Mus musculus: one gene and its partners. The protein of the gene in region 6 binds, or shares a complex with, the protein of the main gene of each other region. Links are inferred from orthologs where the notes say so. Each region holds a gene or a part of one and is shown on either strand. Other genes may lie near its edges. The genes, in order: Sf3a3, Sf3b4, Ik, Zmat2, Sf3b2, Sf3b3 and Prpf38a.

Evidence for each region.
Region 1: Sf3b3 (region 6) and Sf3a3 share a complex: the UniProt entries of both Homo sapiens proteins name them as parts of the 17S U2 SnRNP complex. The link is inferred for Mus musculus from reciprocal best matches to the Homo sapiens genes SF3B3 and SF3A3.
Region 2: Sf3b3 (region 6) and Sf3b4 share a complex: the UniProt entries of both Homo sapiens proteins name them as parts of the SF3B subcomplex of the 17S U2 SnRNP complex. The link is inferred for Mus musculus from reciprocal best matches to the Homo sapiens genes SF3B3 and SF3B4.
Region 3: Sf3b3 (region 6) and Ik share a complex: the UniProt entries of both Homo sapiens proteins name them as parts of the spliceosome B complex. The link is inferred for Mus musculus from reciprocal best matches to the Homo sapiens genes SF3B3 and IK.
Region 4: Sf3b3 (region 6) and Zmat2 share a complex: the UniProt entries of both Homo sapiens proteins name them as parts of the spliceosome B complex. The link is inferred for Mus musculus from reciprocal best matches to the Homo sapiens genes SF3B3 and ZMAT2.
Region 5: Sf3b3 (region 6) and Sf3b2 share a complex: the UniProt entries of both Homo sapiens proteins name them as parts of the SF3B subcomplex of the 17S U2 SnRNP complex. The link is inferred for Mus musculus from reciprocal best matches to the Homo sapiens genes SF3B3 and SF3B2.
Region 7: Sf3b3 (region 6) and Prpf38a share a complex: the UniProt entries of both Homo sapiens proteins name them as parts of the spliceosome B complex. The link is inferred for Mus musculus from reciprocal best matches to the Homo sapiens genes SF3B3 and PRPF38A.

Annotation. Positions count from the first base shown.
Region 1 is NC_000070.6:124,721,068-124,725,083, reverse strand, and holds part of Sf3a3 (splicing factor 3A subunit 3), read right to left. Parts: intron 3,061-4,016; coding exon 2,978-3,060; intron 2,207-2,977; coding exon 2,068-2,206; intron 1,414-2,067; coding exon 1,345-1,413; intron 326-1,344; coding exon 258-325; intron 10-257; coding exon 1-9. UniProt on the Homo sapiens protein: Component of the 17S U2 SnRNP complex of the spliceosome, a large ribonucleoprotein complex that removes introns from transcribed pre-mRNAs.
Region 2 is NC_000069.6:96,171,129-96,175,582, forward strand, and holds the start of Sf3b4 (splicing factor 3B subunit 4), read left to right. Parts: upstream 1-1,377; 5' UTR 1,378-1,445; coding exon 1,446-1,479; intron 1,480-1,842; coding exon 1,843-1,971; intron 1,972-2,412; coding exon 2,413-2,955; intron 2,956-3,194; coding exon 3,195-3,401; intron 3,402-4,454. Other genes in the region: Mtmr11 (myotubularin-related protein 11), read left to right, coding at 1-104. UniProt on the Homo sapiens protein: Component of the 17S U2 SnRNP complex of the spliceosome, a large ribonucleoprotein complex that removes introns from transcribed pre-mRNAs.
Region 3 is NC_000084.6:36,743,361-36,747,864, forward strand, and holds the start of Ik (protein Red), read left to right. Parts: upstream 1-1,295; 5' UTR 1,296-1,412; coding exon 1,413-1,428; intron 1,429-2,250; coding exon 2,251-2,317; intron 2,318-3,987; coding exon 3,988-4,080; intron 4,081-4,504. Other genes in the region: Ndufa2 (NADH dehydrogenase [ubiquinone] 1 alpha subcomplex subunit 2), read right to left, coding at 821-927, 1,060-1,160. UniProt on the Homo sapiens protein: Involved in pre-mRNA splicing as a component of the spliceosome. Auxiliary spliceosomal protein that regulates selection of alternative splice sites in a small set of target pre-mRNA species. Required for normal mitotic cell cycle progression.
Region 4 is NC_000084.6:36,796,783-36,800,536, reverse strand, and holds the end of Zmat2 (zinc finger matrin-type protein 2), read right to left. Parts: intron 2,659-3,754; coding exon 2,515-2,658; 3' UTR 877-2,514; downstream 1-876. UniProt on the Homo sapiens protein: Involved in pre-mRNA splicing as a component of the spliceosome.
Region 5 is NC_000085.6:5,292,419-5,296,931, forward strand, and holds the start of Sf3b2 (splicing factor 3B subunit 2), read right to left. Parts: upstream 3,038-4,513; 5' UTR 2,977-3,037; coding exon 2,844-2,976; intron 2,670-2,843; coding exon 2,623-2,669; intron 1,959-2,622; coding exon 1,881-1,958; intron 902-1,880; coding exon 662-901; intron 1-661. UniProt on the Homo sapiens protein: Component of the 17S U2 SnRNP complex of the spliceosome, a large ribonucleoprotein complex that removes introns from transcribed pre-mRNAs.
Region 6 is NC_000074.6:110,815,438-110,819,453, forward strand, and holds part of Sf3b3 (splicing factor 3B subunit 3), read right to left. Parts: intron 2,282-4,016; coding exon 2,107-2,281; intron 924-2,106; coding exon 718-923; intron 623-717; coding exon 466-622; intron 1-465. UniProt on the Homo sapiens protein: Component of the 17S U2 SnRNP complex of the spliceosome, a large ribonucleoprotein complex that removes introns from transcribed pre-mRNAs.
Region 7 is NC_000070.6:108,569,020-108,573,035, reverse strand, and holds part of Prpf38a (pre-mRNA-splicing factor 38A), read left to right. Parts: intron 1-144; coding exon 145-230; intron 231-2,769; coding exon 2,770-2,880; intron 2,881-4,016. UniProt on the Homo sapiens protein: Involved in pre-mRNA splicing as a component of the spliceosome.

The DNA of each region.
Region 1 (4,016 bases), on a different chromosome or scaffold from region 6:
TCTAGGGTCCTGAGGTGGTAAGGGATACAGGTTATCTTTTTTCTTTTTAAAAGACACTCACTATTGTAGACCAGGCTGGTCTCTGACTCACAGACTTGCCTGTTCTCTCAGTGCTGGGGTTAAAGGCATTCACCAGCATGCACTGCACAAAATGATTTTGACAGTTTGGGGCAATCAAACAACAAAATCAGAGCCACTTAGATGATCATCCAAACATACAGTCACTAGGATTTTTGATAGCAAAACCAGGTTCTTACCCGCCACACTTCAGGCCCAATGCCAATAGTGCAGATTTCAACCTATCCAGACCCAGGGATGCCAACTCCTAGAAAAGAGAAATCAGTTACAACACAACATGATCAGCTTTCTCCCCAGGTAAGACTACATTCTACAGTCAACCCTAGCTTTCAGTTCCCAAAGACTGACTACTGCCACGTCTAGGCTCAGTCGTACTGGGAAGGCAGTGTTTAGTGGCTCTCTGTAGGAAGACCATTCATAGCAGTATTTTTTGCAGAGATGGGAACTGAACCCAGAACCTCACACACGCTGGACAAACCCTCCACCAACTGAACTCTTGTCTCTAGCTCCTCGTTTTGGAATTACTGACTTTGTGTTTGGAGACAGATCTTACTCTAAAGCCAGCCTCAAATTCACAGCAATGTTCCTGCCTCAGCTCCCCTCTGACTTTCTATGACATCATCTCACAGGTCTCTGAAATCTAGTTTTCCGAGATGTTAAAAGGTTTTTCCCTTCTGATCTTTTCATATCCCTTGTACATGCCTGCCCTCAGAAGTGGTATTGTGACAAGTCTAAGACACTGAATACAGGAGAGCAAGCAGTCCCTCTGAAGGATGGCCAGGGCTAGTGAGATATCTCAACAAGGAAAAAAAATGCCCACAGTCAAGGAAGGGGTGACCGGAGTTTGAGCCCCAAGACTCAGTGGTAGAGGAGAGAATCAGCTCCCACAACTCATCATCTACACATGCACGCTGTGGCACACGCAGAGACACATGCACGCTGTGATACATGCACGCTGTGGCACACGCAGAGACACATGCACGCTGTGATACATGCACGCTGTGGCACACGCAGAGACACATGCACGCTGTGATACATGCACGCTGTGGCACACGCAGAGACACATGCACGCTGTGATACATGCATGCTGTGGCACACGCAGAGACACATGCACGCTGTGATACATGCATGCTGTGGCACACGCAGAGACACATGCACGCTCAGAGACATATACCTACTCCTACACAATACATTTATTGCCACCACCACTGTCAGAAAGACAGCCAGCCAAGTAAGAGCAGTGTCATGTAGTGTCATAGAACATACCTCCCAGGAGGAGAATGCGGAGAGATCAAGATGGGCTCCCGCGTGAGTCAGGGCGCTGCTTGTCTCTTTCTGGCAGGTAGAGGAAGTTTATTACGATCCAGGCTAATGAGAAGACTGAAGGTAATGGAGCTATCTAACTTCCCAGGACTATCTGGTCCCTTTCTTTAAACACATTTACAAATAATGATCAATTCATACAGAAGTGAAGAAAAAAAAAGTATCAGACAGCTAGTTTTCTTCCTGAAAGCTCAAGTTTATCAAAAGAAGTAAAAATACACAAATTTGGGCTGAAGAGATGGGTCAGTGGTTAGGAGCACTGACTGCTCTTCCAGAAGTCCTGAGTTCAAATCCCAGCAACCACATGGTAGCTCTCAACCTTATGAAATGGGATCTGATGTCCTCTTCTGGTATGTCTGAAGACAGCTACAGTGTACTCACATAAATAAAATAAACAAACAATTCTTAAAAACAAACATAGATTCTAATCATACAAACTGATCAGATTTTGGTCAGGAGTCACAGAGCAATCTGGGTATGTTTGTTAAAAACCCAGGGCCCAGACAATGTCTAGTGGGTCCTGACAAATCTTGTTCCAAGTGTACAAAGAATGCCGGCCTCAGGATGGAGCTGATACTGAGGGACTGACATCCAACGTCTTGAAGCAGAGACTCAAGAATAAAATAATTAGTTCGCTTCCTTGGCATGAACCCCACTGGAGCTCACCGGCCATCCAGGAAAGGTGCCATTATCCCACTTCTTCTCAAAGTCGGTCTGAATCTTCCCAAAGAGCTCGTTCTGATCCTGAAGGGGCTTCACTCTATCTGTGTAATCCTGTAGGTACTCCAGCAGCATCTCCAGGTATCTGCAGAGAACCATGCAACAAGGAAGCCATTATAGCAAGGAAGCAATTCTACCTGTGACATCCTGCTATGCCCTGCAAACCATACTTAATTTCTAATAATAGTTGATAAAGTAAAACTCATAGCATATGAGAGAGAGAGAGGCAGGCAGGCAGACAGACAGACAGACAGACAGAAAGTGTGTGTGTGTGTCTCGTGTGTGTGCCTGCTCATTTGTACTTGCAGGCTTAGAACTGAAGGCCTATGGCTTGGGGAACATTAATGAGAAGTGTGGCCAAGTCTACAGTACTTTCTGCTTAATACCTGATCCAAGCACATCACTTAGCTTGGACACTTTCCCCATTAAACTACAAGACCTCAGAGGTCCCCAAACAGACTTCTTTCTAAATCACACAAAATTAAGGAAGGTGTGTGTTAAGACCACAGATGTTTCCATAATAGCTCTGTCCATAACCAGAACGTCCCACACGTTTATCTTTTGAGCAGGCTCTCACTGCGCATCCCTGACTGGCTTGGAACTCACTATGCAGACCAGCTGAATTCAGTGACCCACCTGCCCTTTTCCTCTTGGGAATGCTAAGGTTAAAGGCTTGCACCACCATGACAGCATCACAAATATTTCTAAAACATAACACTCAGTATCCTTACCTTCTGATAAACCCAAAAGTCATTCATGTCCAGTATTCAGACAACAAAAGCCACAACTCTGACCCAACCCTTTCCATGAAATCCTACCTAAATCTGGAAACGGCCTGGAACCTGTAAGTGCCTACCTTTTGTACTCTGCATTCTTTCTTTCTTTAGGAATGTCAAACAACTGGTCAAAGATGGACAGGTATGTGATGTAATCCAGCTTCTGAAAAGAGGAAACAAATGACAGAATCAGGTGCTAAGTCAGCTCACCTTCAAAACATCACACAAGGCTGCAGAGATGGCTCAGGGGATGAAGGTGCTTGCCGCCAAGCAAAAAGATCTGAGTTCTATTTCAGAGACCCACACTGTGGAAGGAGAGGACTAACTCCCTCAAGTTATTCCGTGACCCCCATATTTGAAGGCCACCGCACACACACTTTTGTTTTTAAATCAAGGTCCAAATCGAGCGTTTTCTGACCAAGTATCGAGGCTTGGCTCACATTAGGGCTTTCCTGCCTGCCTTACAATCCCGGAGGCTGATTCTACTGAAGGGAGTACAAGATTGCCCAACATGAAACCAACTCTACAAGATCAAGTTAACAAACATTAGCCCTAGTAAAACCTGGGCTGGATATTCAGGGTGGGCCAGGATCCTGCCTAAAGATTTTTGCCATTCTTTTTTTTTTTTTTTTGACAGTCTCAAGTTTTTATTCAGTGGGTCTCTATGTCTAGAAGAAGGTGTTGGGCCTCTTGGTGGTGAAGCGTGGCTTGTGCTGGCGCCGCAACACACGGTGGGGCAGTGGGAATAATTTTTGCCATTCTAAAATAAGGTCTTGAAAGATGGCTGTGGGGCTGGTGAGATGGCTCAGTGGGTAAGAGCACCCGACTGCTTTTCCGAAGGTCCAGAGTTCAAATCCAAGCAACCACATGGTGGCTCACAACCATCTGTAACGAGATCTGACTCCCTCTTCTGGAGTGTCTGAAGACAGCTACAGTGCACTTACATATAATAAATAAATAAATAAATCTAAAAAAAAAAGAAAGATGGCTGTGTTAATCTACATAACCACTTATTGGGCATCTCTGAGCCATATATGGAGGTGCAGAAGAGGACAAGGTACCTTCCTGCAGAGCTTCAAGGTTAGAAGCTGAACTTGGGGACATTTCCTCATCAGGAAC
Region 2 (4,454 bases), on a different chromosome or scaffold from region 6:
TTTCTCACCTTCAGGAACTGTTAAGACAATGGACACCAAGAATATCTCCCGAGGACCAGAGCAAGAAAAGAGATCCGAATACCATCCTCTCTCAGATCTGCTGAAACTGTTTGTTAGCGTCGTTCTCAGAGGCAGGGCAGGGGTCTCTGCTCATCTTCCTGTCTGACCTTGACGCCTCAGCTTTGGCATTCCAGTCTGCAGAGTTCACTTAGAAGGCCCGTTTCTGTAGCAGATGGTGGCGCTACCAACCTAAAGGTCTCCCGATTTGTTTGATTTCTGGGGCTATTTTCATTTCTTGTGATTTGAAAACTAAGAAACAAGACCAGTTCAGAATGTGATTGCCCCTTTTCCCAGGCAATTCTGTACCTTTTGGATGGCCGTCAAAACTGTGACATGAGAGACCCTTTTCATCAGTCCCAACAATGATGTCCTAGAGACCTCATTCGCAACCTCTCTACACTACTTTGAAATCTTTTCTTAGTCTTCTGTGGGAACGAGGTGAATAAGGGAGAAACCGTCTCCTCCCACTGTATATTTTCATAGCAGCGTTTCTATTTAAGGAGTTCATTAAAGCACAGTATTTCTACACATTGCTGGTATTTTCTTGTGTTGAATGAAGATCTCAGCAAAGCCGTGGGGGTGGAGGGGAGGGTGTGAACTGAGAAAAACACCCAAATTATTGTAAGGAAATAAAGGATCCAAGTCAGGCGTGGCCTGGAAGAAATACACATAAAATATGGGGGAAGGGGTCCGCACACCTTTTTTGAGACATGGTCTCTATGTGTCTATTAGGCCAGCTGGAACTCTGTTTTTTGAGACAGGTTTTCTGTGTGGCCATGGCTGTCCTGGAACTCGTTCTGTAGACCTGGCTGGCCTTTAACTCAAGAGATCCATGTCTGCTCCTTAAAGCTTCGATACCAGCCCGCAACCCAACCCGGTTTCGTGTCCCAGATTTCCCAAGATAAGCGGAGATTTGACACTTAGGGGAAAACAAAATACCTCAGGCTCAAGTCTAGGCCGAGGGCGAGTCTGCACGAGCGTCGTGGACCTCACTAAATAATAGGTCGCTCCAGAAGGCAGTCCTGGCCCTGCACTTAGGACACAACTCTGCGTCACAGAACGTACAAAGCCTGGTTTTGCACTTGAATGTGCGTTTGGGGAGCCGTGTGAGCCTCTAACAGTCTGGAAGCATCCGGGGCTTTAGTTAACTGTGTCGAGACGGGCTGAGCACATCCGTTCCGCCCCGACTACAGCAGCAGCCCTAGAGCGCCTTTCCCTTCCGAAAGACAAGACTCCGACCCCTAAGATGGCCGCGATCGCTTCCGGCTCCTCCCCCCCCCCCCGGCGCCGGCCCCGCCCAACGTGAGCCTTGGCCCGGAAGTGGAAGTTGTAACTGAGGTCAGGGGGCGGTGCTGCTGCTTAGAGACGGCGGGAGCCCCTTCGCCATGGCTGCCGGACCGATCTCCGAACGGAATCAGGGTAATTGGGAGAGAAGAGCCCAAGATAGGAGCAGGGAAGTGGAGGGAAGATTAGTGCCGGAAGCGTTCCCCCTGGGGTGGTAGACGAGATCCCCCCCGGTGGGACACCGACCTCTGGGCACCTGGCTGGCCGCGAGGCCGGGTGCAGGCCGAGGCCTGTGAGAAGCGATGCTTCTAGATCAGCTCCCTCCACCAAGAAGACAAAAGCCTCCCGGGAGTACCGGACCAGCAAGAATGCCAAATTAGACGTAGCAGATTTTCTAGATGATGGTGGCAGAGGGAATTTCAGGGCTTTAGGCGACGGTTTTTGGTTTTTGTCTTCTTTTTCACTGCCGACTCCTCATCGCCTGCTTCTTCCCTTTAGATGCCACGGTGTACGTGGGCGGTCTGGACGAGAAAGTGAGTGAGCCGCTGCTGTGGGAGCTCTTTCTCCAGGCAGGGCCAGTGGTCAACACCCACATGCCCAAGGACAGAGTCACTGGCCAGCACCAGGGTGAGTAGGGTACGGGGCAGGAATCAGCCCTGGAGAGGGTTAACCGGCCCCGAAGAGGCTCAGCCGCTAGGCACAGCGCCTTTGGAATGAGCAACCTAAAGATTGCTTTCTCCTTCAGCTTCAATTCCCAGTTTCTGGAATATTTTCTCTTAGCTCTAGTTTCTGGAACCATTCTCAACCATTCTCTGTGTAGTCCTGGCTGTCCTAGATCTTGCTCTGTAGACCAGGCTGGTCACGATCTTTGAGCTCCACCTGCCTCTGCTACGAAGTGGTGGCATTAAAAGCACGTGCACGTGCAGTCGCCCAGCTATTATCTATTATGTTCTTTGTGTTTGAAGGCTGGGGAGTTAATGTTTCATTTTGAGTCTCTTCCCCTGAATGATGGGTTTTTTTTGTTTGTTTGTTTTTTGTTTTGTTTTGTTTTTTTCATTGATTCCCCAGGCTATGGCTTTGTTGAATTCCTGAGCGAGGAAGATGCCGACTATGCCATTAAGATTATGAACATGATCAAACTCTATGGAAAGCCAATACGGGTGAACAAGGCCTCAGCTCACAACAAAAACCTGGATGTGGGAGCCAACATTTTCATTGGAAATCTGGACCCAGAAATTGATGAAAAGCTGCTTTACGATACTTTCAGCGCCTTTGGAGTCATCCTACAGACCCCCAAGATCATGCGGGACCCTGACACAGGCAACTCCAAGGGTTACGCCTTCATTAATTTTGCCTCCTTCGATGCTTCGGATGCAGCAATTGAGGCCATGAACGGGCAGTACCTGTGTAACCGTCCTATCACTGTGTCTTATGCCTTCAAGAAGGACTCTAAGGGTGAACGCCATGGCTCAGCAGCTGAAAGACTCCTGGCAGCCCAGAACCCGCTGTCCCAGGCTGACCGCCCTCACCAGCTGTTTGCCGATGCACCCCCTCCGCCCTCTGCCCCCAATCCCGTGGTTTCATCCCTGGGTTCTGGGCTTCCTCCACCAGGTACAGCTTGGAGTTCAGACTGTGCCAGTGAGGCTCTTGGGAGGGAGGCTCAGGAGGCAGAAGCAGCCCTGGTAGAGTAAGCTGCTAAGTTGTTGGGCAGTGAGACAGGAGTGAGGCGTGCTGGTGGAAGGGATGAAGTTGGCGGATGAAGTTGGCAGATGGAGTGAAGCTGAAGGGAAGCCTGCAGGGGGGAGGCTGGAGCTCTGCAAGACATTAACTGTCTTCCATTTCTTACACAGGCATGCCGCCTCCTGGCTCTTTTCCACCTCCAGTGCCACCTCCTGGGGCCCTCCCTCCTGGGATTCCCCCAGCCATGCCCCCACCACCTATGCCACCTGGGGCTGGAGGACATGGCCCCCCAGCAGCAGGGACTCCAGGGGCTGGACATCCCGGTCACGGACACTCACATCCTCACCCGTTCCCACCAGGTGGGATGCCCCATCCAGGTAAGGGCTCTGTGCTGGGAAGGAGCTGAGCTTGTGAGAGGGGCTTTCTTACTGTCTGTCCTGGTAGTCTTGGATGAAAATAGTCCAGAGTCCTCCTTTTCTTCAGAAACAGACAGTACTTTGTACGTGTTGGTGCTCCTGTTTTATCTCCAGTTCTTGTATTTCCTAAAGGATAGCTTGTACTGGGCAAAACTCTCAACCTCTCCTCTGCTTCCAAGGTTGCCAAATCTAGAAGACATTTCTGCTTTTGGCTTTTTGAGAAACGGGTTCTCTGTGTAGCTGGCAGTGTCAAACTCAGAGATCCTCTTGCCTCTGCCTCCCAAGTGCTGGGACTAAAGGCGTGCGTGTTTCTAGATTTCTCTAATGTCAACCATAGCAACCTGGATCGGCTCCTTTTTTTATGTTTGTGTAGATTTTTTGCTTGTTTCTCTTTTCTTTGTTTCTCTGTAGTGTTAAATGTGAAGGTGCTAATTTACCATTGGTCTCTGGTCTTAGGTTCTTGGCAGGCTAGAAAAGGCCACTGCTCAACCCACACTTAACTTTCCTCTTTCTGACACCATCTTCAGTAGTTCTCACTTGTAGGAGCCCAGTTTACAACTCTGGGGCTTTGTCTGTTCTGTCCTCCACTTTGCAGAGCAAGTCTAGCTTATGTTTTTGTCATTGGTCACAAGCCAGTGCTCAGACTGCACTCACTTCCTGTCACTGACTCAGGGACTCATCTACTTTCACTGAGTAACTTTTCCAGGGTATTCACAGACATTTTCTTCTTCTTTTGTTTTTTTTTTGTTTTTTTGTTTTTTGAGACAGGGTTTCTCTGTGTAGCCCTGGCTGTCCTGGAATTCTCTTTTGACCTTGAACTCAGAAATCCACCTGCCTCTGCCTCCCGAGTGCTGGGATTAACGCGTGCGCTACCACGCCCAGCTCAGACATTTCCTTAAAATTCTTCTGTTGCCTTTACTTACAGAAGAAAACCTGGTCTCACTGCTGGCGCTCAGGGTCCTCTTGGTTGGCCTAACTTACAGGCATTGTCATGTTTACTGTTTGGTGTTCACA
Region 3 (4,504 bases), on a different chromosome or scaffold from region 6:
TGATGATCAAACCCAGTGCCTCTCACAAGAAAGGCAATTACCATTTTCTTTGTATCTTTGGAATTTTGAGATAACGTTTCACTAAATTTCCTACTCAGGCATTGAGCACACTATAGCCTCGGACAGGCCTTGAGTTTGTGGTTCGCCTGCTTCTGCTTAAGAGTATCTAAAGCTGGGATTTACAGGCTGGCTCAGGAATGCCTCTTTGAGACAGTAATAGGCAGTTAGGGGCAAGTAACAACCTGAATGATGGGAGCCAACCATAGTATGCTATAAGGAAGGGGCACAAAGTGCAAAAGCTCAATCCTATTCTATTTGAGCTGCGTAACTTTAGGCGCTTTCCATAGTGTTTAGACTCAGCTTTTTAATATTTACAAAAGAAAAGCACCCATTCACAACATCAATAGAGACTAATGAGAATGAGTTAAAGTACCCAGCGTAAGCTGTAAGCATAAAGTGCTCAACGCTGCTAAAATTCTCAGTCCCTGAATTTGTACTGGCTAAGAATTGATTCTGAATGGCCTACGCTGACATGGAGAAGCAAGTCTTTTACATAAAGTACACTCTGAACTGCAAAAATTTCCTGAATCTAGCCTAAGACCCAGTTAGACCATATATATATATATATATATATATATATATATATATATATATGTTGCCATGAATAAAAAGCATCACACAACTAAGTAAATGTGAATTCCTTTATCAGTACGAGTTTTGGTCCTTCAGCCCCGTTTCCCCAGGACGTTGGGAGGCCCCTTCATCTCTCCATCCCGTATTCTGCAACCCGGGCCCCTGACCTCCGGCGACCAGTACTCACCATAGCGGGCCCAAAGCTTGGGCTGCACCTCCGAGCATTCGCGGATCAGAATGGGCAGGTTGGGGTGCGCCTTCTTCAGCTCCACGTACCGTTGCACGATGAAATCCCTGCGGGGGGGGGGGGGGAAGAGAGAGACTGCCGCTAGCGGGCAAAGGTACACAGCCCCCGCCCCTGCCCGGAGGTCAAGGTCATAGCTCCAGCTTCCGAAGCTCACTCGCCTTCCCACGCTTCCGCCTCACCTCACACCCTGGCTGCCTGGGGAACGCTGGCATAAGTGAACGCGAATCTCACGCAACCCCAGCTTTGCGCCGACCGCTCGGCTAGCAGCGGCAGCCGCCATCTTTGTTAGCAAAGGAGCGCCCAATCACGACCTTTCACCCTCAATCGGACCAATAGCGGGCCCTCCAGTCTTCGCCGTCGATTGGATGACGCAGGGAAAGGGGCGGGATAAATCTTAGCCAATGACAGGAGGCATCGTGTGGTGACGCGAAGGAAGACAGGTTTTCGTGGTGCATTGTGGATAAAAGTTTGTCGCCGCTGTCTTGTTAGGGGGACATTTCGCGATTGCGGACGTTGAGAGGCCGCTGCCAAAATGCCAGAACGAGATAGTAAGGCTCGAGTCGACCACTCTTTCCTGCCCGCGGGACTAGAGACGCTAGGCTCGTCGAGTTTGCTGAATTTAAGCAAGGTGTCGTGTGACTGATGGAGCCGCGCGAACCATTGGTCCTTAGGAGAGGCCCAGCTGAGCTGCCCTCAAGTTTCATTTCTTTTGTGGAGGACCGGCGTTTTGAATTTTTTGAGGCAGCTCTACCTCCCTATCCCTTCCTTAGTAAACCATGGCTTGTGCCTCTCTTTTAGGGACGTGGTTTATTTATTTGACGCGGGAGGGGAGGGGCTCGCTAACGCTCTGAGGCAAACCTCAAAGTCCCATATAGTTGCGTAGTGCGTAGTGCTTTAGAAGCGATCTTTTGGGGTTGGGGCCGGAGGGGGAGGAAGGTTGTTGATTCCTCGTTTAAGGAAACCCGGTTTTATAACTTTTTATTTATTTTTTACGAGTGAGCTAGGATCTAGAACGCAGGGGTCTTTCTGTCTCCACTAGTCAAGTGCTGGGTTGACAGGTGCCTGCCGCCACAAACAGCTCTTTTGCTCGTTTCCTTTTGAGATAATCTGAATGTGTAGCACAAACTGGCCTCGAAATCTCGACGGCCTTGCTGCTTCAATCTCCCTGGTGCTGGGATTATAGGTTTGGGTCACCATTCCCAGTTTCTGGTAATAGAGTTTCTTGTAGTCCTCCCAGTTCAGCATTACTGCATAATCACTGCTCCTCTTCTTGCCTACTATGTTGCTCATTTTTATAATCGCTAGTTCTTGTACGGAACTTCACACATTAAACGAGTGATTGATTTAATGTCATTTTTTCCCCCTTTAAGGTGAGCCCTTCTCTAACCCTTTGGCTCCAGATGGCCACGATGTGGATGATCCTCATTCCTTCCACCAGTGAGTGTTTTGTCTTTGGAGGAATGGGTTTAGCAATGAGCAAGAGAGATAGTAGAGAGGGCGAAAGAATTCAGAGTATTTTGTTGGCAAAAATGCTCCAGCAGTTCATAGAAGATGGTTTATTGAAAGGAAAATGCTAACCTCTACAACATGCTAAACTTATTTTTTCCACAGAGAGCTATGTCATGAGTTCATTTACCTTAACAAGATGGTGTAATTATACTTAAATTCTTAAGTTATATAAAATGATTGTTTTGGTGTCAGTTTTTCAGTAAGGTTGTAATTATGGACAAAAAAAAAAAAAAGAAAAGAAAAGAAAAGGAAAAAATTTGGAGCATTAATCTTTATTTCTGTGACTTTTCAGTGAATTATTACAAGAAAAGTTATGGCCAGGAAGAGTCTAGTGTTTGTGTTGCTTTATTACATATTTAGGAATTTTCCCTGGTAAAAATTAAACATTGGAAATGAGAGTGAAATTATCTTTTGTAACTTCACAATTTCAATCCCATTTATATTTATTATTACTTTGAGTGTGTGGGTAGGTGCACATCTGGAGATGAGAGGATAACCTTGGGGTTAGGGCTCCATCTTCCACCTTGCTATGAGATAGGGTTTCTTTTGTTCGCTGCTGGCAGCCAGGTTGGTAGGCCTGCAGCTTCTGATGATTCTCCTGTTTCTGCTTCCCATCTCCTGAGAAGGGTGGTGCTCGGATTACAGACACTTGTACTGCTGTGCCCAGCTCTTCCCTCAGATCTGGAGACCTGAACTTGGACTGTTAGGCTTGTACAACAAGCACTTTTCCCACTTAGCTCTCTCCCCAGCCCTCTCTTTTGGAGATAGAGGCCACTTTGTCATCCTCCTCCCTCGAGTCTCCCAAGTGCGGAGGTTGCAGGCTCATACAGAACTACTATACCTTGTTTCTTTTAAAATTGTTATTTATTTCTTTGAGAAAGGATTTAATCTGATCATCCTCCTGTCTCAGCCTCTCAAGTGCTGGGATTATATGCATGTACTCCTACACTCCAACCTAAGAATCGCTCTCTCTTTCTCTCTGTCTCTCCGCCCCCCATCCCCGCCCTCTGGTAATGCTGTGAGGATTGAGTCTAGGGCCTTATAGCCTTACCCTTTAAGGTATAGTCCAGGCTTGCTTCAGATTAGCGATCCTCCTGCCTCATTGTTTTTATCTTTTGTCACTATATGTGCCACAGTGACCAAGTCTCATTCTTGACTAAACCTTCCCCTTTGTTGTGTGCCTTGTTTTAGAAAAGGATTAAGCCCCACCCCCACCTCCCCAATCACAGCATTCCTAAAACTATATGAGAGTAGCGTGCTCCAAAGTTTCACTCACATTTGATTCAGTGAAACTTCTGAGTGGGAGGTGGTGGCACATACTTTTAATCCCAGTATCTGGGAGGCAGAGGCAGGCGGATCTCTGAGATTGAGGACAGCTTAATCTTTATAGTTAAGTTCTAGGATGGCCAGGACTATGCAGAGAAACCCTGTCTTAAAAAACAAAACAAAACAAAACAAAACAAAAGCAAGAACTTTCAGCAGTTAACAGTAATGTGTTGAAATTGGCATTTCTGTTGTTTCAGTAAAGTTAATCCATGTATTTTACAGGCTTCTTTCCTATTGGCTACTAATTTTAATTTTTTTGCAATTTCTTACAGATCAAAACTTACCAATGAAGACTTCAGGAAACTTCTTATGACCCCAAGAGCTGCACCTACTTCTGCGCCACCTTCTAAGTCACGTCACCATGAGTAAGTCTTCTTTTATTCATGTCTGTCCATTTCTGTGGAACCGGAGTTTGGTGGACTCTCAAAAGCCAGAGCTCTTTTAAAGCCTCTGCTTCCGATTTTTTTTCTATAAAGACTGAAGTTTCAGTGATGACTGGGATGCTCTGGGTTCTTATTATTCCTTCATGAGTATTAGTAATAGAGTCATTGCTTGTACAAATGGACAGATTTCTGGGCCTGTTATTATTACTGTATAGTCTACAACGGGTTTTTTTGATTGGTGTCTAATGTTAATGTCAATTAAATATTTATGATACTTTTGAAAACTTGAGTGATACAGGTATTGATAATATTATGACTGCCTGATCAGCACTGGTTTTTGTATTTTGTTATTTTTGTTTTCTCTCTCTCTTATTTAAGAATAGTCTGACTAAATAACCATGGCTGG
Region 4 (3,754 bases), on a different chromosome or scaffold from region 6:
ATCCCAAAGTACACGGGAGACTGGAACAGGGGATAATAGATTTTGTCTCAAATAAAACAAAGTTTGTCTTCTCAACACTCAATGAATAAATGGAGTCAATAAGACAACAGGTGCACTCACCTCAAGTACAAATTTCTCCATGGATTACAAACTTCTCTTCCAGAGATTCCTGAGTTATACAGGATTGTTCTGTTCTAAATCCCCCACCCCACCCTGTCTTCACCTCTCAATCCACCATCTTAACACCATAACCCCCATAGAACCTAGCCAGGTCATTCCATTTACCACTCCCCCAGAGTTTACAGAACCTGGAACACACGATTATAATGGAAATGGCAGATGATCTCACCGCACTAGAGAAAACACTAATTAGCCATTACTGAGGTGAATGGGTGACTTCCCAAGGTGTGAATATTGTTAGAATCTCCCTTCACTGAGACCTTGCCCTACCTGCCTTGAAAATATAAAATGATCCACTCCACAAGGGTAATCTCTCTAGGATTTGTAACTAATCCTGCCAAGGAAAGCATTCAAGAATTGCAATTGGCCTGCAACTGTGAGGTTTGATAGAAGGTCTTATTATACAGACCAGACTGGCTGTGATCTTACAGCCATCCTGCTTCTGCTTCCCAAGTGCTGGGGTTACAGCTGTGCACCACCATGCTCAACACTGTATTTAAATTCCCAAGCCAGGAGTTGAGCCAACATATGGAGTATTTATGCAACAATCCCAGTGGCCAAATCCCAAGAGAACTCATTAAGCGAAAAGCTGACTTAATCAGTAATGGATGGAGTGCACACTTTGCGGGGTCCAGTGCTTCAGATGCTACACAGGTGAGGAACTACATGGATCAAAGAAAAGTCACTGTGGCAGTCTTGTGAGTGGACCCCTTTATTGAGAGTGTAGAGCCAGCAAAGGGAGCTTCATCTGTTTACAAGACTTGTATAACTGTCACCTGTGCCCTCATCCCCATCTCGCCCTTGAATTCCTTAGACAAGGCACAGTACGTGATCTAGCTCTCAATGTTTGGGAGGGATTTGTTTTTAACTAATCTCTGTCATAGAGTTCACAAGTTACACTACAGTGGATAAGAGTTTTAGTCATTTTCAATGGGAGAGCCATTTACCTACTCCCAGGGGACAAAGATATTTGTAGCTGTCACAAACTGGATGGGACTGCTACTGCTGACATCTACTAGGTGACGACGCTGCTCAACATACTATAGAGCCCCTTAAAAAAAAAAAAAAAAAAAAAAAAAAAAGACCTGTCCTGAAATGGAGGCACACACATTTAATCTCAGCACTGGAGAAGCTGAGGCAGGCAGATATCTGAGTTCAAGACCAGTCAAGTGGGACCCTGTCACAAAAACCCCAATTCCAAAACTTACCTAGCTCATCATCAACAGTGCCAAGCCTGAATAACCCAGTGCCCGCCCAACTGCAGACAGGCAAGTTTAACCCTGAGCTCTTCTAGGAAGATCAGAGGGTACTAAAATTACAGGGGACTAAAATGTTTTGTTTGGACTCCCAAGGGCACAGATCCTATTAGCAGAGGGGAAAACTCGCACTAAGGAAACCTGTATGTAAGGGGGTGGGAAGAGGAAGATATTCTTGATGTAAGAACATGTGGGGCAGGGAATGATACAGACTTGTCACCAAACAATGTGAAACAGGCCTTGTCACTGTCATTTACTGCACATGTTGAACAGTGTCTGAGAACCGGGGTCTCCCAGAGTGAGAGCTTTTGTTTGGTTTTAGGGCTGTTTTGTTGCTTTTTTGCATAAAACAGGTTCTTCCAAGAACCTGTTCCCGAGGAAGACAAAACAGAGATCCTCAGTGAAGTGAAACAGAAGAAACGAGGTTAAAAACTCACCAGACACTCATCCCATTTAATATCCTGTTACATGCACTGAGGAAACCAAGAACATTAGGTCTCAGGGCATCAATGCTCTGAGATTCTAGCTCAGGTCCCCTCTTTGTGACATATCATGCACACATACCCACACACACATTGACCCAGGCAGAAATCACATGCATGCACAAGTGGGTAGAGAACCGCGGGGTGGAATGGGAGGAAGAGCTGGGTCAAGGGTATACCAGTACCCGCAGACTGGAGACTCAGAACCCTTCTGTTGCAAGCTGAACAAGAGTAAAAATTAAAACAATAGCAGGACACAGGAAAAGGGAGGATGTTCAGACAACAGGTTTGATAGATGAAGAGGGAAAGATGCAGGGGGATATGGGGAAAGCAGTCTCAAAGAGGGAGGTCCTTCTTTATTGGGAACACAGATGGGCAGAGGTTCTGTGACTCCAGTAATGTACTGAGGCTGAAGGAATAAACCACAGTACCTCCCCCAACGTAGAGGGAAACCACAAACACCCACCCTCGAGCCCTGCCCATTAACACTCTTAAGAACCTTCTCCAGTACCCAAAAAAGAAATGACGCCCCCACCCCACCTCAACACACACTCATTAGGTCCAGTATAGGCCAAAGTTAGGCCAAAGAGAACGCTTCAGTAACTCTTCTTGGTGGAACCAAAGCCAGAGAAACCCATCACAGCTGCCATTTCATCATCCTCCTCAAAAGTCAAGTCCTCCTCGGCTCTCCTTTTCTTCTCCTTCTGTTTCTCTTTTTTGTATGCTTTAGCCTTTTCCTCCTGAAGGATAAGGAAGAAAAAAATCACTCAGAATCAGTTGGCTCCAGAGCTGCTGCTGCTGAAAGAGAAATGTAAGCTTCAGGATTCTTTTCCGTCTTTCAGCATGACTAAAATCCACAGTAAAGACTGAGAGGTCAGTGATAAAGCACTGCCCAGCATGCATGAGGGCTTGAGACAGACTCTAAATGGCAGTGAAGGAAGACTGTAAGACAAGATTTAAGAGATAAAAAGAGATTTACTAAGTCTCTGGAGTTTTTAATCATACACCCTAGTTCATCTCTAGTTCTTTTTGTTTTGTTTTGTTTTTTTGTTTTTGTTTGTTTTTTTTTTCCCGAGTCATGGTTTCTCTGTATAGTCCTGGCTGTCCTGAAGCTCACTTTGTAGACCAGTCCGGCCTCGAACTCAGAAATCCGCTTGTCTTTGCCTCCCAAGTACTGAGATTAAAGGTGTGTGCCACCACCTCCCGGCACTCATCTCTAGTTCTAACCAGACAACATCCTGGGACATGAAGCATATGCTAAGATCTGTTCTCAGTTTTGTGTAAATATTAAGCTCTAAGATCTTCAGCACAGGGAATGAGGCTCACTAAGGTTATTTAACTTGCCCAAAATCCATACAAATAAATGGAAGAGAATAATTCTGACCCTGTAACTCAGATACATAGGCCAACTAGGAAATAGTTGTATTTAGTTAATCCCTCTTATAGTTTAAAAAAGTTTAGGGAAAGCTATGTGTGCAAGCATGGGAACAGGATGGCAATGGGAGGCTTTGAACTTTCTTCTCTTGGATATGAACCCATAATTAGTCTAAAACAAACCTGTCTTTAAAAAAAAAACAACAAAATCGCCAGGCGTGGTGGCACATGCCTTTAATCCCAGCACTCGGGAGGCAGAGGCAGGCAGATTTCTGAGTTCGAGACCAGCCTGGTCTACAAAGTGAGTTCCAGGACAGCCAGGGCTACACAGAAAAACCCTGTCTCAAAAAAAAAAAAAAAAAAAAAAAATCAATGAATGAATAATTGCCCCCCCTCCCCACCCCAAGAGATCTAATCTAAAAAGCCAAAGAAAACTGGATAGGCTTTGAGCTGTTTCTCATG
Region 5 (4,513 bases), on a different chromosome or scaffold from region 6:
CCCTCTTCTTCACATAAAATAAATGAACACATCTTTAAAACAAAACAAAACAAAACAAAACAAACAAAAAAAAAAAACTAGCAGCAAAGTATTTTCTATAATGGATAAAGAGTAAAATTACATGTGTTACTATCATAGGAATTCTACAATATACTTGGTTTAAAATGTTTGGTTTTCTTTCTTTTTTAATGACAACCCTCCAAAGTTTGAAAAAAAAATCATTTTTAGTTTATAGGCCATCCACAAGCAGGGCACACATAGTGTGCTAACTCCTGGACTACAGAAAAGATGGAAGCACTAGAACCTATTTGGTTATCAGGTAGCCTCCAAGGCAAATTTGAATGAAGCATCTTGGTTTGGACATTAAATAATGTTAAATGGCATCCTCTGGATAGAGCAAGATGTCAAGTCAGAGAGAAAAACATCACCGTCTTCCAGTACCCCAAGAGTTCATGTTGCTTCAGTGAATCTCACACTAGCAGCAATAGGGCCCAGGCCAATCTGCCAAAATACTGGCTTCCTGGGAGTCTAACTATACCTACGTTCTAGTCTTCAACCAAGACCTTCCTAAAAGGCTTGGCCTCAGGGTCTAGCTTTCTCAGGCTCCATTTCCCCGTCAGGGACCTAATGTGTCCCAGGTACAGGTTTCCACCTGTCCTACCTGCTTGGCACGCTCCTCTTGCTGCATCAGCAAAGCTGCCTGCTGCTGTGCCAGCTTCAGCCGTTCTTCTTCTGACAGCGCCACAGGCTCACCCACTCGAAGAGGTGGTGGGGGCCCCAGATTTGGTGGGTGAGCCATAGGAAAGCCAAGGCCAAGGCCTGGTGGAGGTGGTGGAGGTGGTGGAGGAGGCTGTAGAGGGGGAAGTCCCATAGGTGGTGGTGGCATAGGAATCCCAGACAGCTATGGGGAAAAAAATACAGCTATGAATTAGAAAGCATTTATTCAATTTATAAGCATTTGCTAGAGACCTAGCAAAAGAGCCAGATACTAGAATTTGAAGTCTAATGACGTAGGATTCAAGAAAATACACCATAAAAGAATCAAAAGATGCTAACTTTAGCACACTGATCAAAGCTATTAGCTTCTCTGAAAAAATATGAGGAACATTCATATTACATTTTGCATTCAATTTAAGGAGGTACAAGGACACCTCTAAAATCCATACAGGAACTTCACAAAACACACATACACAAACACACCAATAAACTCCAGGTCAAAGCCACAACTTTAGAGGAAGAGAAACAAATACTAGAATCAGAAAGGACTTAAAGAAATAGGAACTAGGGCTGGATAGATGGCCAAGCAGTTAAGAGCTGCTCTTCTATAATATCAGGGCTCAATTCCCAGCACCCCGATGGAAGCTCACAGTTCTGTAACTCCAGCCCCAGAATGACCCAACGCCCTTCAATGGCCTCCTAAAACACTGCATGCACGTGACGCACAGGTAGAAACTTGGACAAAATACAAATTCAGACAAAACACTTATATACATAAAAATAAGTTAAAAAAAAAGTAATAACCAACATTCCAAGGCATAGGATATCTACGTTGTACTAGATGCAGGGAGTATATTATTCAAGTCAGGGCATTATCCTTTACCGTTTCAATAACTTTGGGAGCTATACCTGGCAGGAGAAAGCATGACCACTTCCAGCTGAGAAAGGATCAAGGAACATTTCCAGATATTCTAGTGGAATCTTGAGTGATAAGTCAAATTTGGAGGAGTAGACATTGGGGATTAAAACAGTAGCAGCACTAAATCAGAAGTGAAGAGGTCACAATTTTGTCTCCTTAGACCTCACCCTTAACTTACGGTCCCATCTGCTAGCTCAACACATGGCTATCCTGAGCAGAAAAGATCCTCGAAGCAATCTCTTACCTGTGCTGACATAGGAGGAGGAGCCGCTTTGTCCCCATCTTCTCCTCTCAAAACTGGTCGATTCAGGACAATGCCCGTCTACAAGAAAAAAGAGAGCTCTAGGTCAGACTACAAGGACGTATTCCATTACATAACCTCCTCTTCCATTTATTTACTTAACAAAATGTACCCAGTGCCCACTTGACAGAGACTGGGGCTGGAACCTGAGAAAAGCAACAGGAGTAGAAGTAATTACAATAAAGCAAAACCAAGAACTGACAAAATGGTCAAGAGCCGGCTTGCTGCGTTGAAGTACACAAAAAAGACCTAGCCCGGTGTGCTGGAGCACTCGGAAGGCAAACGCATTAGGATCTCTTAAGTTTGAGGCCAGCCAGGGCTACACTGAGAAACCCTATCGCGAAAGAACAAACAAAAAAAGTATATGAAACGAAGATCCAGCCGCGGAGTGGTGGCGCACGCCTTTAATCCCAGCATTTGGGAGAGGCAGGCGAATTTCTGAGTTCCAGGCCAGCCTGGTCTACAGAGTGAGTCCAGGACAGCCAGGGCTATACAGAGAAACCCTGTCTCAAAAAAAAAAAAAAAAACCAAAAAAAAAAAAAAAAAGAAAAGAAAAAGAAAAAAGAAAGAAGAGAAGAGAAGAGAAGAGAAGAGAAGAGAAGAGAAGAGAAACGAAGATCCATCCGTGAGTAGTCTTAAAGGCCTCCAGGAAAAGTGAGACCTAGCCTGCACTGACAACACTCACCTGACGGGTGTAGGTCTGCAGCCGCTCTACTAACTCCTCGCGACTCCCTATAGGACGAAGCACAGAATCAGGGGGTCAGCATCACCTCGAGCAGGCCAATTTGGCGAGGTCAGGTCCCACAGGCCTGTCTCCGCCCCCCGCCCCGTGGGTCTCCTGGGTAACCAAGCTCCACTTCGCCACAAGCCCACGCAGGGCCCCTCTCGACCGCCTCTGCGCCTCACCCTGGATCGGCGCTCCTATCTCTGCCAATCTGGCCTGAAGCTCCTGCGCAGCCCAGGCTCCATAGTGGCCTGGAGGTGGAGGCGGTGGCAACTGCAACTCTCCTTTGGGAGGTTCGGGATGCTCCGCCGCCATCTTAGCCACAAGAAGGCGCGAGACCAACACGGAAGCTCGGGTCAGCCGCCGGGCCTACTTCCAGAAACTTCCGGTTGCGTAATCCACGTCCCGCGGTGATTGGAGAGAACTTGGTCCAAACACACGCCCTTTCCCTTACCGGGGAATAGGAATCGCCGCCAACGGAGGTTGCAGAGCCTTCTGGGAGTTGTAGTTTGCGGATGCGCCATCTAGAGGACGAACGCTCGCTATGACATCCGGTATGCAGCAGTAGTAATACATCCGCTGCCTGGCTGCAAGAGCTTACTCTACCCAGAGCAGATGCATTCTTCTTCTCTCCTGGCCAAACACATACTAAGTCTTCTGTCCCGACACCCTTCAATGATGAGAGACCTGGGTGCTTATTTCTCCTAGGAGCTCATAGAGATTCCTTTCCGGCGCCCGAATGGGAGGTTGGTGCCGATGGCTCTGATAAAACAGTGTTTGTCTGCTCACTCCCGCCCAGGCGTGCTTGAATGGGCTGAAAGGGGATCGGAGCCGGTGGAGGAACGGACCGCCAAGCTGAGTTCCAGCTGCTGACCTGGGGGAAGGGCACTGCTAAAATAAAATCCCCTTTTGCACCTTCGAAAAAGTCTTAAATAAATGTATTCTCTGTCAAATGCTTCCTTCCCCCTTTCGAGGAATGTTCATTAATACATTTTCCACCTTTCAGGTGTTTTATTATATGTATATGTACCGCTTGCATGCCTGGTATCTGTAGAAGCCAGAAGTGTCAGATCTGGAACTGGAGTTACACTTTTGTGAATCGAACCCAGGTCCTCTGCAAAAGCAACAGTGCTCTTAACACCAATTCTCAAGCCCCAAGGTTTTTGTTGTTTAAGACAAATGTGTCCATATGTGGCCCAGGCTACCCTAGAACTTCTGATCCTTTGCAGGCTACAGATATATACTATCACACCCGATTTCATGGAGTGGAAGATCAAGAGTCATGTAGTTCAGACTGTCTTGGGACAAAATCGAGCCCAAGCCAACCTCTAGCTCTTGGCAATCCTCCTGCCTCTGCTTCTTGAAAACTGGGCTTACTGCTGCCAGCTAATCCATTGTCTTTGTTTCATTTTTAAGTCTTTCCTGTCCTTTATTCCCACCTCCATTCCCCCAAACAGGATCTGGAACTTGATCTTCTTCTATCTTGAAGTATTTAGCATCCAGGAGGCAGCTAATAAATGAGTTGGGAGGTGGGGGTATCTAACCTGGGGACTTTATATTCTTGTAGGAAAAACAAAAAAACCTCAGGACCTTTCTTGGGGCAAGACACCATGACCCTTGCCTGCCCAACATCCACCAATTTATTTTATCTCCTTCCCTCTCCTAGTTCTGCCGCTCTCAATGACAGCCTGTTTGGTTTGTGTGTGATGAATAAAGGAGAGGAACACAAATGGTCTCATTTCCCACCCACGCGCTTCAGATCTTTTCCTAGCCACCTCCGTTTCACCAGCTGTCCTCAAGGGAGGAGTAATTGGAAAGGAGGGGTGAGCAGGATGCAGGAAAGGTGGGGTCT
Region 6 (4,016 bases):
AGACATGCTAATTCTTTAACTGCTTAGTCACTGGAAACAAGGGACCATTCATTATGTGCCTCTTAACACTGAAAGCGGTGAGAACACAGCTTCCTGTGGCAGGCACAGGAACATCACTGAAGCATGAAGGTCCTAGTATGTTCCAAATGCTACACAAAGATGAGTCAGAGTCAACAGCTCGTCTGTAAAAGACCAGCCCAGCATGGTGGTGTAATCCCAGCATTCCGAAGGCAGAGAGGTAAGATCATCTTTGAGCTCAAGGCCAGCCTGATCTATATAGCAAGGTACATAGCCAAGACTACAAAGTGAGACTCTGCCTCAAAACACACACACACACACACACACACACACACACACACACACACACACACACAACAAATAAAAAACTTGACCCAGAAGCTTAGGGCAAAAATGGGAGAATTCAGTAAGATCTAAGATCCAAGAGAATTGAAGGTTTGTTCTCACCTTGTGCAGAAACTCCAACTTCTCCCCGTTGTTCACAAGCTTGTACGTATACACAAAGCCCCCTGCCACAGATCGAGGGCTCAGTATCAAGTCCTTGGCAACACCCACCAGCACATACCAATCTTCACCAGTGTTGGAGAACCTACACACTGCCACACTAAAAATAGACCAAGAAGGCAAAGTCAGGCATTAGTTAAAACCCCAAGAACCCTGCTCACACCACCAAACTCCCGACTGCCCTCAGGTCCTTACCTAAAGGCTGCCTCGTTTTGCTCCAACTGGACAAGGTCTAGTGTATTCCCCTGGATAGGGTTCATCACCCGAATCACAGAGGCCCACTGCCCATTGCCAGCCTTGGGAGCTCCAAAAATGGATTCTGGGAGGTTTTCATTGAGGAATGCTGCTGCCATTTCTGCAGCCAACTCCCGCTCATCCTCCCCTGCTGCTTCTACCATTTCCTAAACCCAAAAAGCAAGAACAGATGAGATGAGATGTGAAGGAGCAAAGAAGACTGTTGCCTAGCACCACGGTTCCCTCAAACAGAGATTCGAAAGGAAGGGCCTTCAAACAGCCCCACTGGTAGAGGCACTTGTGACCTGACAGGTATTTAGCTTCAACAAATGGTGCAGCAGGTCTGCACTAAAACACTTAGATACACAATTTAAAAGGGGGGAAAAAGATTCAAGGGAGAAACGCAAAATAAAGAGATCATTAAAAGGAAAAAGAAATACTAGTAGTTATATCTGAGAAAAAAAAAAAGCCAAACAGAACATTAACCGTGACAAATATTTTCATGTCTAAAAACTCAGAAATGAAAACCTGGTTGATTCACATAGTATCTCCAGGCTTCCTATGGTTTCTGCATGCTTGGTGCTAGTTGGTTTTTGCTGGCAAATAATTTTTGGATGAGCTGGTGCTGAGGGGAAATCTGAAAGCTGTGTGTCAGGGCTTGAATCCAGGCGTCATGTAACACACCCTACTGTGGAGGCTCAAGGACCAGAAAACAGTTCTACACAGGGAACTGAATTCCGAGTAACCAAGGTCAGCATATTTGTCCCAGGTCACAAAAAAAGCTTGTAAAAGGGAGAAATAGAAACAGGACAAAAAACTTTGTTTAAAGGTCCTAGAAAGGGGGGGCTGGTTTATAGTTTTAGGGTCAAACCCACTTTACCCTTGTTTTTCAGTCCTAGGAATCTAACCTAGAGCTCTGCACATGCTAGACACGAAGCCTACCACTGTGCTACACACCACAAGCCCTGGTTTTTTAAAAAGTAAAAAGATAGCCAAGTGTAGTAGTGTACAGCTTTATCCCCAGCACCTCAGGGGCTACAGGCAAATCCTTGTAAATTCAAGGCCAGTGTTGTCTACATGGTGGATAGCAAAATGTCTCAAAAAACAAAAAGCAAAGACTACAGCTATATGTGACAGTGCACATAGAATTCCAGCCCTTGGAAAGCTGGGAATAGCAGGATCATTAAGAGTTCCTGGCAAGCCAGGGTTATGGTCTGAGACCCTATCTCCAAAGCAGTGTGTATGTGACATGGAGAAGAGAATTAGAGGTGGTTTCTAAATTTAAACTTTTCTAAACAACTTCACAGGCAGGCGTTTTGAAATTGCCCCTCTGGAGGTCAGAGTAATTACCTCAGCCATCTGCTGCTTTCTCTGAGCTTTTGTGGCCTCAGTGTAGGCATTGTGATCCGTCTCAATGATGATAAGGTTGTTACTCTCAGGGTGGATGACAAACTTCCTGGGTGTGTACTGCAATGGGAAGGCTACTTGATTGAAGACAGCACCAAGCTTCTCTAAAGCCAAAATCCTATGGTAATAGGCAAGAGAGTTAAAGGTGTTGGCTCACTCAGCTCAGCTGATGAAATGAAGCTGCTTATGCCCTAAGGCAACACGATAACAACTGTGTACGATTAAACGACCACCGTACACGACAAGGAGATACACGCAGATTTCCCCTTCAGCAACACATACCCTGCAATTGTGTTTTCACCACTGAAACACACTGAACTAGAACCTTGCACTGACATTGTCAAACCCTTACTATTGCATAGTTAATGTAATAACATGACGTTCAGGGGACACGGAGAAGGTTCAGTTGGTAAAGTATTTGTATGGAACCATGATGACCTGAATTATGAACCCTAAAACCCACTTAAAAGGCAGGGCACAGCAGTACCCCGTAATCCCTATGCTAAGGAAAAAGAGACAGGAGGTTCTCTGGGGTTTGATAGCAGTCAGTTTTGCTAGTTTGCAAACTACTTTCAGTGAGAGATCCTGCCCCAAAAAATAGTCGACTGTTTATCTCTCCAGTTGGCTTTGTGAACCTGGGAGAATGGGGTCTAAAAACGAGGACAAACTCTCATGTGACAGCCAACTTTATTCAGAACATCAGACAATTTATACCCTGAAGGTTAAGAAGAGTCACACGAGTAAGGTATTCAATTCCAAGGACAACACAAACAGCAAAAACCATGTTGTTTCAAAGAAGCACATGAGTTAACAATGACTGCTCAGCTCACTCCTATCTGCTACACCTGGAAGGAACACAATAAACTCCAAGAAGAAACTGAGGTCAGACCCTTAGAGTTTTTTCCACAAGCACTCAGAATTCTCACACGACTCTATTCTAGGAGTGCATTTTTAAAAAAAGACTTATTTACTTTTTTTCCCCCCGAGACAGGGTTTCTCTGTGTATCCCTGGCTGTCCTGGAACTCACTTTGTAGACCAGGTTGACCTCGAACTCAGAAATCCACCTGCCTCTGCTTCCCAAGTGCTGGGATCAAGGCATGCGCCACCACAGCCCAACTTATTTATTTATTTTATGTAACTGAGTAGTGCACTCTTGTTCTCTTCAGACACACCAGAAGATGGAATCAGATCCCATAACAGATTGGCTGTGAGCCACCTTGTGGTTGCTGGAAACTGAACTTAGGTCCTTTAGAAGAGCAAGCAGCCAGTGTTCTTAACGGCTTAGCCATCTCTCCAGCCCTGGGATACAATTGATGAAGGCACATTTGAACATGTTGGAAATGCCCAATTCCACCTTTATATTTTAGTATCTACAGTTCAGTAACTACAACTTCAATAAGCTACAGTGGCCACTAACTGCGACATATTTCCATTGTCACCATGAGTTGTGTGTATTCTCTTCAACCAACCTCCTTTCCATCTTACTTTTATGAGCTCACACATGGATGACAAGTTTTGATATCCCCCTGGCCCAGTCTTCATCCAAACCCTTGCATCTCCCTGATCTCCTCCTTACCACCCCCTAACCTTGTCACCTCCACTCCCTCCTATGGAATGATTCTCCTATCCCATCTCAAACCCTTTACTCCTCTACCTGAGATAACTTCCCTTCCCACCTATCAACCCTAATAGGACCCTGCTCCCTTAAGTTCCAGAGGAACCCTGAGATCAACCACTTTGTTCCTGGTCCCAGAAGAATAAGACTTCAGCCCAGAAGCTGTATTTGACTCTACTGGATTGGACACAGATTTTTCCTACTTTCTCTCTTGTCTACTTCTGTCCATGGTAACTC
Region 7 (4,016 bases), on a different chromosome or scaffold from region 6:
ACTTTCAGTTCTTGTCTCCAAAAGAAAGGAAGGAAGGAAAGGTGTGGCACGTAGGGAGCTTCACATAAACTTTCATGATTCTTTTACTCTTTGCGTAACTAAGTCATTTGCAGGTTGCTTAATCTAGTCATTTTTCTCTTCCAGAGTTTGTGCTGATGCATGTAGATGAGTTCATTTATGAACTCCTGCACAGTGAGAGAGTCTGTGATATCATTTTGCCCCGGCTACAGGTATGAGACAAAGGTCACCTTTTACTTCTCACATAAACACAAATACCTACTGAAACACTGAAGCTTTAAGAGTTGTCTTAATAAGTCCTTATACCAAAATTTACAAAGGGTAGGGAATGAGATAAAAGCAGGTAATGTTTCATGGGTAGGCTTTGAAAATGAATAGAGGAAAGGATGTCTTATCCCAAATATACCTGGAGTATTGTTTTTTCAAATTGGTAAGCTAGGCTAAGAAACAGAAGAAAGATCACTCAGAATGAGAAAGAAAACACTCAATCCTTTAAACGTCTTGTGTCTTGTTTATCATCTTCCTTCACACCCAAAGTGATAACTATTCATGAAGCAACAAAAAAAAGGAGAACCTTTAGGCCTGAGAAAATGGCTTAGTGGGTAAAACACTTGCTGTACAAGCCTGACACTCTGAGTTCATATCCTTAGAACCCACACAGAAGGAAGACGGAGGATAATGCCAAAAGCTTACAGATCAGCTAACCTAGCATCCACATGTACACTCTGGCATATGTGCTTCACAGATAAAATTGTAAAATATTGAAAGAACTAAACAACCTTACCGAAAGTTTATTGTGCCAGGCATAATAATTGTGGTGCTGGACTTTAGTCCCAGCACTTGGAAACCTGCTCTAGCTCTAGGACAACTAAGCCTTCATGGTGAGACCATCTCAAAAAACAAATAAGCCTCACCACCAAAGAACCCTACAAACAACAACAAAAACAAAACAAACAAAAACCGCCCAGTGTTAGCGAAATGGTTCAGTGGTTAAGAGTGCTTGATCTGTAAACATAAGGACCTGAGTTCAAGTCCCCAAGCACCCATGTAAAAAGCATGGCTGCTAAGTACCTATAACCCAAGCTTGGCAGGCAGAAACAGACAGATGTTTAGAACTTGCTGGCCAGATAGTATAGCCAAAATGGCAAGCTTCCTGCTCAGGTAAAGACTTGTCTCTCACTGAACTAAACTGGGAAGCAACAGAAGACACTGTGGCCCTATTCTGGCATGGGTAAGCTGGCATGTGTATTTGCAGACTCATGTATTTGTGTCACACACACAAATGAGCAAATTTGCCTTTATAAAATTAAAACATTTACTTTTCATGTTATTTTAATTAATCATTATTAATGCTGGGGGTGTGTGAATGTGCCAGGGCATATAGGGGCCAGAGGACAATCAATTTTCACCTTCTACCAGAGAATGCCAGAAGAGGGCATTGGATCCTTTGGAACTAGTGAGCCACCATGTGGGTACTCGAGCTGAACTCAGGTCCTTTCCAAGTGCAGCAAGTTCTCTTAATAGCTGAATCATCTCTTCAGCCCTGAAGGTAACATTTTTGATGACACACAAATTGATTGACAATGTATTGACCTTACAGTATAAGACCACAGGAAATAGAAACAATTGAAAATGAACTTGTTCCCTTCAGCAATCTGTTTATGTTTGTAGGGGACCTTTAAAAAGCATATGGAGGGGCTGGAGAGATGACTCGACGGTTAAGAGCACCTACTGCTCTTTGGATGGTTCTGAGTTCAAATCCCAGCAACCACATGGTGGCTCACAACCATCTATAATGAGATCAGACACCCTCTTCTGGAATGTCTGAAGACAGCTATGATGTACTTACATATAGTAAATAAATAAATCTTTTTTTTTTTTAGAATTACTCTTTTTTTTTTTTTTAGGTATTTTCCTCATTTACATTTCCAATGCTATCCCAAAAGTCCCCCCATACCCTCCCCCCCACTCCCCTACCCACCCACTCCCACTTTTTGGCCCTGGCGTTCCCCTGTACTGGGGCATATAAAGTTTGCAAGTCCAATGGGCCTCTCTTCCCAGTGATGGCTGACTAGGCCATCTTTTGATACATATGCATCTAGAGTAAAGAGCTCCGGGGTACTGGTTAGTTCATAATGTTGTTCCACCTATAGGGTTGCAGACCCCTTTAACTCCTTGGGTACTTTCTCTAGCTCCTCTATTGGGGGCCCTGTGATCCATCCAATAGCTGACTGTGAGCATCCACTTCTGTGTTTGGCAGGCCCCAGCATAGTCTCACAAGAGACAGCTATATCTGGGTCCTTTCAGCAAAATCTTGTTAGTGTATGCAATGGTGTCAGCGTTTGGAGGCTGATTATGGGATGGATCCCTGGATCTGGCAGTCTCTAGATGGTCCATCCTTTTGTCACAGCTCCAAACTTTGTCTCTGTAACTCCTTCCATGGGTGTTTTGTTCCCAATTCTAAGAAGGGGCAAAGTGTCCACACTTTGGTCTTTGTTCTTGAGTTTCATGCGTTTAGCAAATTGTATCTTATATCTTGGGTATCCTAAGTTTCTGGGTTAATATCCACTTATCAGTGAGTACATATTGTGTGAATAAATCTTTTTTAAAAGGGGAGGCATATGGATTCCACTGTATATTAATATCATACCAGAGCTGTGGTTCCAAGGCTTTTCTGTCAACCCCAGAAACTCTGTTAGGATCAGGCTATGGAAGAAATGGCAATGACTGTTGACGTTGTGGTCCCTGTAGAAACGGTATGTGCTGGAAGAAGCTGAGCAACTGGAGCCTCGAGTTAGTGCCCTAGAAGAGGACATGGATGATGTGGAGTCTAGTGAGGAAGAGGAGGAGGAAGATGAGAAGGTAAGGCATGTATGAAAGTGGTAAGGCTGGGAAGGAAGGAAGGAATAGCCCTTATTTTGTAAGCTTTAGTTTGTAAATTAATGATAACCTTTCCTTTTTACATTCTTTGTGGATTAATTACTTTTGGGTTCCTTTTGGACAGGGAGAGCTCTAGTGTGTGGATAAGACTAGCAAGACATTTCAGTTCTGCCTCAGGAATAGTAGGATCACAGGCCTGTGCCTAAAAAATAAGAATGCTGTATTCTTACTAAAATTAGGAGCTTTGGTGTCAAATACCCCTTTGGCTTGAATACCTCTTCTCTGTCATAGTAGTGGTATAGTCTTAATTGTCCTGATTTTTCTCCCTTTGAGTTAGGGATTGATTGCATCCACAGTGTCACTTATGCTGAATGCATATTCTATCCCTGAGGTACACTCAGTCTCTACTGCTGCGTTAGATTGCTTGTCTTCTGTAAAGCAAGGAGGAGTACAGTACTTTTCTCTGAAGACTGTTTTGTGTTCATGAAGGTATATTCCCACATAATTGGTAAATGAATGGTAGCTATCAAAAAACTTGGACAAAACATGCTTGAACATACTCTTAAGGGGAGAAGTTACCTGCTACATAGTCATATTTTGTCAGAATTAATAATTATAGTGCTGAAAAGTGGAAAACAACCCACCTCAGCAGTCAGGATGTAAGGAGTCAGGTCGATTGTTGAAATGATTTTTAAGCAGCCATTAAAATGATGGAAATGTGGGAGTGCTTCTAGTAACTGCTCTAAAGCATTTGCAATTACATTCTAAGAAACACTGCAAGAACCAGAAGGACATATAAGAAATGCTTGGCGTGGTGACACATGCCTTTAATTTGAACCCTCTAGAGAGACAGAAACAGCTCTGTGAGTTTGAGACCAGCTAGAGTTGCACAGTGAGACCTTATCTCTAAAACTAAAAAATTAACCTCAAATTGGGTTTTATATTGATAAAACAGTAATCTAATTATTTTTCCTCAACATGGAATTTTCTGTTCCTGTCCCTTGCGGTATTATTTTTTTATCCTCATTTTCCTCCACTTATGTGTTTGACATTTTTACTACAATTCCAAGTTGTATATGCTGTATATAGATAATACTCTAGGTATTGTTACACTTTTG